2 linked regions of the Cricetulus griseus genome follow. Each later gene encodes a partner of the first gene's protein in a complex. Links are inferred from orthologs where the notes say so. Each region holds a gene or a part of one and is shown on either strand. Other genes may lie near its edges.

Evidence for each region. Proteins that work in one complex are often made in the same cells at the same time.
Region 2: the proteins of Nsun4 (region 1) and Mterf4 are in contact, whole or in part, in a crystal structure (PDB 4FP9), measured with the Homo sapiens proteins. The link is inferred for Cricetulus griseus from reciprocal best matches to the Homo sapiens genes NSUN4 and MTERF4. Residues at the interface, in NP_950245.2 of Homo sapiens: Pro61, Ser62, Arg64, Val65, Leu68, Ser69, Glu70, Arg136, Gly137, Asp138, Ile139, Arg141, Asn367, Leu368, Met369; in NP_872307.2 of Homo sapiens: Tyr267, Glu269, Arg270, Leu271, Gly272, Arg273, Glu311, Glu312, Val315, Phe316, Lys318, Leu319, Arg322, Glu323, Glu326.

What each region holds. Positions count from the first base shown.
Region 1 is NC_048595.1:36,285,635-36,289,145, reverse strand, and holds part of Nsun4 (5-methylcytosine rRNA methyltransferase NSUN4), read right to left. Parts: intron 876-3,511; coding exon 541-875; intron 1-540. UniProt on the Homo sapiens protein: Mitochondrial RNA cytosine C(5)-methyltransferase that methylates cytosine to 5-methylcytosine (m5C) in various RNAs, such as rRNAs, mRNAs and some long non-coding RNAs (lncRNAs).
Region 2 is NC_048595.1:444,768,152-444,772,175, reverse strand, and holds the start of Mterf4 (transcription termination factor 4, mitochondrial), read left to right. Parts: upstream 1-1,217; 5' UTR 1,218-1,341; coding exon 1,342-1,362; intron 1,363-1,925; coding exon 1,926-2,424; intron 2,425-4,024. UniProt on the Homo sapiens protein: Regulator of mitochondrial ribosome biogenesis and translation. Binds to mitochondrial ribosomal RNAs 16S, 12S and 7S and targets NSUN4 RNA methyltransferase to the mitochondrial large ribosomal subunit (39S).

The DNA of each region.
Region 1 (3,511 bases):
CTGTGCAGTCTTTTCTCACTGCATTTCACACACATAAGCACCTCCTCAAGACACTGGAAGTTCTGTCTTTCTTCAAATCTGTTACATGCATTCCTAGGCAACCCCTATTTCCTACCAAGTCCACATCCTCTGGTCTTACTTTCACAGGGGCCTGGCGGGACACACAGTGAGGAGGGTGCATTTTCACTGGGAAGGATACAGTGGGTTGCTCTTGTGAAAGGCAGATGTTTTCCACAGAAGACAGTATGTCAGAACAGGTTCCCAGTGCCGGTTCTGGGGCTCAGACCACCTGGGTCTGAATACCAGCTACACCACTTACTCTCTTTGTACCTCAATTATAAAAGAGGGCAGATATTTCCATAAGGGTATTAACAGAACCAAAAGAGATGGTGTGTAGACAGCACTTAGACACCTAGTCTGTTGAAGCACAGCAGAGAAACTAACAATTCCGATTTTTATTACAGTGGGCAGTAGCTGAGCAACTTTTCATGTCCACTGCTAGCAGGGACTGAGGATGACCCTCATGGTTCCAGATCCTACCTAGCAGGAGGGAAGCGCCTGACATCCCCTCTGGAAAAAGTGAAGCATCGGAGGTTTGGACTGCAGTCCGGGGATGGAGTTGGAGAAAGGTCACTCTCAGGCTCCAGTTTCTGGCGAGAGATGGCTTCATTCACAAAGTCCTTGGCACTCAGCTGTTCCAGCTTAGCACTCACATTATCCCAAGCAGCAAAATTATTGACCAATGCACCATACTTCTGCTCTGAGAGAAGACTAACACGAATTGATGGCCAAAGATCCCCAAATTGTATACCGTAGGACATGTCAAAATTTTGCAGAGCAAGCCGACTGGCAGGAAATTCTGGTTCTGTGGTAGCCTAAAACAAAAACAAAACAAAACAAAACAAAACAAAAAGGCAAGCGTATCTATCTTTCCAGTTTTTTTGTTTTTTTGTTTGTTTTTTTTGTTTTTTTTTTTTGTTTTTTTTTGGTTTTGTTTTTCGAGACAGGGTTTCTCTGTGGCTTTGGAGGCTGTCCTGGAACTAGCTCTTGTAGACCAGGCTGGTCTTGAACTCACAGAGATCCGCCTGCTTCTGCCTCCCGAGTGCTGGGATTAAAGGCATGTGCCACCAACGCCCGGCTTCAATCTTTCCAGTTTTGACTCTATCTCTTTTCACTTGACTTTACTGTTTTACCTAGGGTTTCTGTTGCTGTGATGAAACACCATGATCAAGGCGACTTGAGGAGGGAAGGGTTTATTTCCGCTTATACTTCCAGGTGACAGTCCATCACTGAGGGAAGCCAAGGCAAGAATTCAAACAGGGCGGGAACCACAGGAACTAATGCAGACGCCATAGAGGGGTGCTGTTTATTGACTTACTTTCTCATGGCTTGCTCAGCTGCTTTCTTATAGAACCCAGGACTACCACTCACAATGGGCTGGGCCTTTCACCATCAATCATTAAGAAAATGCCTTACCCTTACCCTCTCTATGAGGTATGAGTGGGGGGTGGGAGAAAGGGAGGGAGAGGGAACTGGGGTTGGTATATAAAATAAAAAATAATTTTTTAAAGATTCATTTATTATGTATGCAGTGTTCTGGCATATATTCCTGCAAGACAGAAGAGGGCACCAGATCTCATTATAGATGGTTGTGAGCCATCATGTGGTTGCTGGGAATTGAACTCAAGACCTCTAGAAGAGCAGCCAGTGCTCTTAACGACGGAGCCATCTCTCCAGTCCCCAAAATAATTTTTTTTAAATAAAATGCTTTTTTTTTCTTTTTCTTAAAGATTTATTTTATTTGTCATGTATACAGTGTTCTGTCTACATGTATGCCTACAGGCCAGAAGAGGGTACCAGATCTTATTATAGATGGTTGTGAGCTACCATGTGGTTGCTGGGGATTGAACTCAGGACTTCTGGAAGAGCAGCCAGTGCTCTTAACCTCTGAGCCATCTCTCCAGCCACCAAAATAAATTTTTAAAAATAAAATTTAAAGAAAAAGCCCTACAGCCAGATCTAATGGAGGCATTCTCAATTGAAATTCCTTCCTTTCACATAACTCTAGCTTGTGTCAAGTTGATATAAAACTAGTCGAGGCAAATTCAAATCCACTCAGTGATCTCTCCTAACTTTGCATCCTACCTCTGCCTACCAAAGGAGAAATTGGGAATTGGGAGAGTGAAGAGTTAGCCTTTATATCACAGGATTGGGAAGGGACACAATACCTCTTATAGTAACTGTGTAGGTTTCTTCAAGAGAGACTATGCTAGGCACAGTGGTGCACACTTGTAGTCCTAGCAGGCTGAGGCAAGAGGATCCAGAATTCAAAGTGAGCCTTGGGACTACAAAAGCAAATTTGAGGCCAGATTGGGTTACACATCAGTAGTCTCTTAGCAAAGGTGGCTGAATGGGGAAAGGTTTTTGCCACTAGTGCGACTACCTGAGTTAGATCTTTGGGAACCATTAGGTGTGACTACCTGAGTTAGATCTTTGGGAACCACTAGGTGTGACTACCTGAGTTAGATCTTTGGGAACCACATGGTAGAAGGAAAGAAATGATTCCCCCAAGTTGTTGTCTGACCCGCCCCAGGTAGAACATGGCACATAGGTGCATACATGTACATACCCATATTCATACCAATAAATACATAAATATCATTTTTAAAAGTCTGCTGTAAGTAATCCCACCACTCAGGAGATACAAGGGAGCATCATTCTTGGCTACACAGAGTTCAAGACAAATAGGGACACAAGAGACTATCTCAAACATACACACACATACACAGTGAGAGAGACAGAGAGAGAGAAACACATAAGTCTCAAAAAAGGAAAAAGGGGTGGGCAGTGGGTGAGGACTTAAGCTGGGGTGTGACAGTGCTTGCTTAGCACATGCAATCCCCTAGATTTGATAACTAGCACTGAAAAATAGGAAGGGGACTAAGAAACTCAAGGAAAAACTCTTTAAGAAACTATTTCCTCAAGCCCTGGGAAGGGTTGAGACTTAAAACTTTTTTCTTTCTTTCCTTCTTTTTTTTTTTTTGTTTGGCTTTTTTGAGATAGGGTTTCTCTGGCACTCACTCTGTAGATCAGGCTGGCCTCGAACTCACAGAAATCCACTTCCTCTGCCTCCCCAGTGCTGGGATTAAGGGCATGGGCATGTGCCACCATGCCCATCTATGACAGTAGTGTTCAACAGGCTACAAAAACAACAACAATACCCCTTTCACACCTGGAGCAATGAGAGTCACTTACCTAAGATGGCCAGTGAATAGGCAAAATGATGCACAGAATCACAGAGCTGAGTTGTTTTGGAAGATTTCCCAGACCCCAGGAAGGCAGAATAAAGACAGTTCAAAAATCTTAAGAAGAATTAAAGCAGAAACTTCTAGGGTAACTGTTATGGGGCTAGCAGTGAAGGACGTGAGTCAGATTAAAAAGGAACTGAAAACTTCAGATGAGGAACCCACAAGTTGGTCTGGGGTTGCAACAACTGAGATGCTATTGCTGA
Region 2 (4,024 bases), about 410 Mb from region 1:
AGCCATGCATGAGACCACACCTGGATTTTTTATGTGGGAATTGGAGTCTGAACTGCTGTTAATTGCTGGTCCATCTCTTCAGCCTCTAAAAGACTGACTTCTTTTAGTGTGTGTGGCCAGGTGTTCATGTTGAACAAAGAATTAAAAAGAAACTATTATGTGGGCATGTGTGCCATTTTGTATGTGTGAAGGTCAGTGGACAACTCTGTGAAGTGGGCTTGCTCCTTCACTTTTACATGGGCTCCTAGGGTCAAACTGAGGTCATCAAGCTGCTGCAGCCAAGTGTCTTAACTGCTTCGCCATCTTGCTGATCCTAAACACAGATTTTTAAACAATATAACTTACCAAATACTTTATCTGGGTCTGGATCCATCTTACCATTGCAGGAAGAACTTTGTTTGGGCTGTCCTGAGAAGTTATTGCTATATTACAATGCCTGCCAAAAACAGTATTCACTTAAACGGTGAGCCCAAGCACATGAATTTTGGTTGCTCCAAGAGATTCCATCGTCGATGTAGTTAGGTGAGATACTACTAGTTACAGAACAAAGTCATAAATTAAGTCATTTACCAGACACATCAGTAGGGATCACAGATAGGAAGGCTAAAGCAAAACTGGGAAAACACTTACCTACAGTAGTTTAGGTGTTAACTAATGATACCATTAGCTTTTGGATTGGCAAAAACCAGTGGTGATCTAAGAATATGTTTTAAAAGCCGGGCGGTGGTGGCACACACCTTTAATTTCAGTGCTCAGGAGGCAGGCAGATCTCTGAATTCGAGGCCAGCCTGGTCTACAGAGTGAGTTCCAGGACAGCCAAGGCTACACAGAGAAACCCAAAACAAAATTAAAGACCCTCATAGTCACAAAACTTCGGTTAGACGGGGTGGACAGTGAATGAACTTCAGAAAGGGTAAAAATAATCCATGCTAATTAGGTTCCACAATTACAGTTAGGTTATTTGGCCTTCTAGAATCTAACGCATGCTTTTTTTTGTGTGTGTTTTGTGTCCCGTCCGTTCTCGCTCCCCCTTCCCTCTCCCGCCAGTGTACTTGACAACAGGAAAAGATGGTGTGAGCTTAGCTTCACCCGAACTAAGGAGGGCAGTTGAGAAACCCCGGTAGCATTGCTTGTTCGTGGCAGAGACGCGCTGCGCAGTTGGGGGGAGCTGCATCTGCAAGCGGCTTGCATCCGGCAGGAGCCTGCGGGACTAAAGGATTGGCGGCGGAACTGAGGAACGCTGTCACCCGAGAGTGGGCGGACACAGACCGGAGGCCGGACACTGTGGGCCAGGAAGGACCGCCCCTTCCGGTGTCCCGGTTGCGTTCGCCGCTTGGGCTCATGGCTGCTCTGGGTCGGCAGGTGAGGTTGCCGTAGGTCCCGGGCTCACAGCGGCCGTGGACGGGACGGGACGGGACGGGGAGGAGGCACCGCCGCTGCTGCTTTGTGGCCACATCCGGTCACTCTGTGGCGGTAGCGCTCCCGGGTGGCGGGTGCACAGACAGCCTGGTCCTGAGATGAGCCGCTGGCTTCTACGGAGTTGGCCAGTGTGGCGACTGTGGGCCCAGGAGGCCTGGACCCCCGAGACGGGAGAGGGGGCTGGCCACGCTAGAGAGGGCTGGGGGCCGGTGTGGCGGGCACCGGGTGCGTAACTCGTTATGTGCTGCGCTTCAGTGCCCACCAAACGTCAGTGACTAGCAGCCCTCCGTGAAGCTCAAAGTATTGGTCGTGCCCGATTCCCGCGTCTTCAGTAACTGCTGTTGTCTACATGCTCATTTCCTTCCGTGGAGACTTTTTAGGACCAGAGGTTTTACGGATAGTTTATAAAAACTGTGAGCTTTTATGGGCCAAAATACTCCGGCTCAGTGATCTTGTGGTGGTCATTATCCTGAGGTAGAGCTGATTCTGCTTGGGCTGTCTTACAGGTTTGTGACTGGCACCGTCTAACGGGCCTCTCCTGGGCCTGTTTGTCTAGGCAGACTTCTCATCTCAGAGAACGGAAAAGGATGAGTCCTGCCTTGTTCTGCAAACTGACCACAGTACCCGGTGGAGAGAGCCTTCGAGAGTCGTCCTGTGTTAGACCCCAAAAGTATGTGCTGGCACCAGAGCACAGGACACATCTTGTTCAGTGTCTTCATGAGGATCGGGGGACGAGTGTGGAGCCCAAGTCCTTGGAGCTTGAAAAGGTCACCAGTTCCCTCCAGGACATGGGTTTCGATGAAGCCCATGTTAACAGTTTGCTCAGCCTACAGCCAAGTGTCCATCCTCAACAGTTGCTGGACATAATTTCAGAATTTCTACTCTTAGGGTTGCACCCAGAACCTGTATTTGTGGCCGTGACGAAAAGTCCACAGTTACTGAAACTGTCCACGATGCAGATGAAGAGGCGTTCCAGTTACCTGCGGAAGCTTGGGCTTGGAGAAGGTAGATGAAGCAGCAGACTTGGTAGTGTGAGGGAGTCAGAGTTAGTGAAGAAGTAGCCTGCTTAGCGGGGGTGGCCAGCCTTTCGATATTGTGACATGCCATGCCATCTACAAATGTGTTAGGCTGCATTTGTAGCTGTCCTAGAAGCATGCGGGCTGCGGGCTAAACACACCTTAGTAAGGTGATGTGAGGTAGGAAAGTTTTCCGAGGAAACGTCTGATGGGCCCTCTGCAGAAGGCATTGTAAGAGGGATGAGAGGAAATTAGCCAGGAGGAGAGAACCAGGCCAAAACAAGTCCCGTGTGTTCTGTTCATTGAGGTCTCTAGCTCCAGAACAGTGGGGACATGAAGTCTGGTTTTGGTGGGTTAGTGTTGCTATGTGGTATCGGTATATGTGTATGCATCCATACATGTGACATCTGCAAAAACATGCCGTGCAGAAATTTGACCTGGTGGTGGTGGTGCCAGGTCCCTGAAAAGCTGGTAGAGAGGCCTTCTCCCTTCTCCTGACTGTTGCCGTTCTTCTGGAGAAGGGAGATGGGGATGGATCTCCAGGCTTCTCTACCCATTTGACCAGTTTTATTTCTTTATTATTAACTGTTCCTGGTAAGAGTTTTACCCATAAGTAGGGAGGTTTAGAGTCCACTATGCTTGGTGTCTCTACAGGCCGCCTTCTCTAGAAAATAAACAAAAAGATAACTATATTCCTCTTGACAGATTTTCTTTTACAGTGTCATCTAAGTCTAAGCTCAGTCAGTATTGCAGCACAATTTGAGAGAAGAAAATAGAGCACATTTTGGCTGGGTGTGGTCGAGCACGCCTTTAATCCCAGCATTTGGGAGGTGGAGGCAGGCGTATCGCCATGAGTTCCAGGATAGTCCCAGCTACACAGAGAAAACCTGTCTTGAAAAAAACAAAAAACAAAAAACATAAAACAAACAGCTGGGCAGTGGTGGCGCACACCTTTAATCCCAGCACTTGGGAGACAGAGGCAGTTGGATCTCTGTGAGTTCAAGACCAGCCTAGTCTACAAGAGCTAGTTCCAGGACAGTCTCCAAAGCCACAGAGAAACCTTATCTCAAAAAAAAAAAAAAAAAAGAAAAAAGAAAAAAAACAGAAACCAAAGGTGGTGGTGGTGGGGAACATAAACTAAAAACAAACAAAAAAAGCTTACCCTTTGGAAATTTATCTTCACATTGTAGTGAGACAGAAACAGTGGCCAACTAGGCTGTTGGGAAACTATTTCACAGTCTAAGTGGTTTTTAAGTTTGCAGCTATTAAACTTGCCAATATTCGTAACAAAATTGGCCCAACGATAATAAGACCATTTACTCCCCTTTGTCTGGGACAGTCCCTGTTTATACCAGTTGTCTGAATACGGTTACTAATGTAGCTCACAATAAACCACTTGGAGGCCAGGTTAGGGATGTAGGGATCTGAGAAGAATCTCCTCTCCTCTCCTGTCTCTCTCCCCCCACCACCCCACCCCTCGGAGTGTATGTGTGTGTATCTGTATCAGTGGGTGTTTGGTGGTTGTACAGGTTCTGGGGCACTTGTGGATGCCATAAGACAACTTCTAGAGTCAGTTGTTTGCTTCCGCA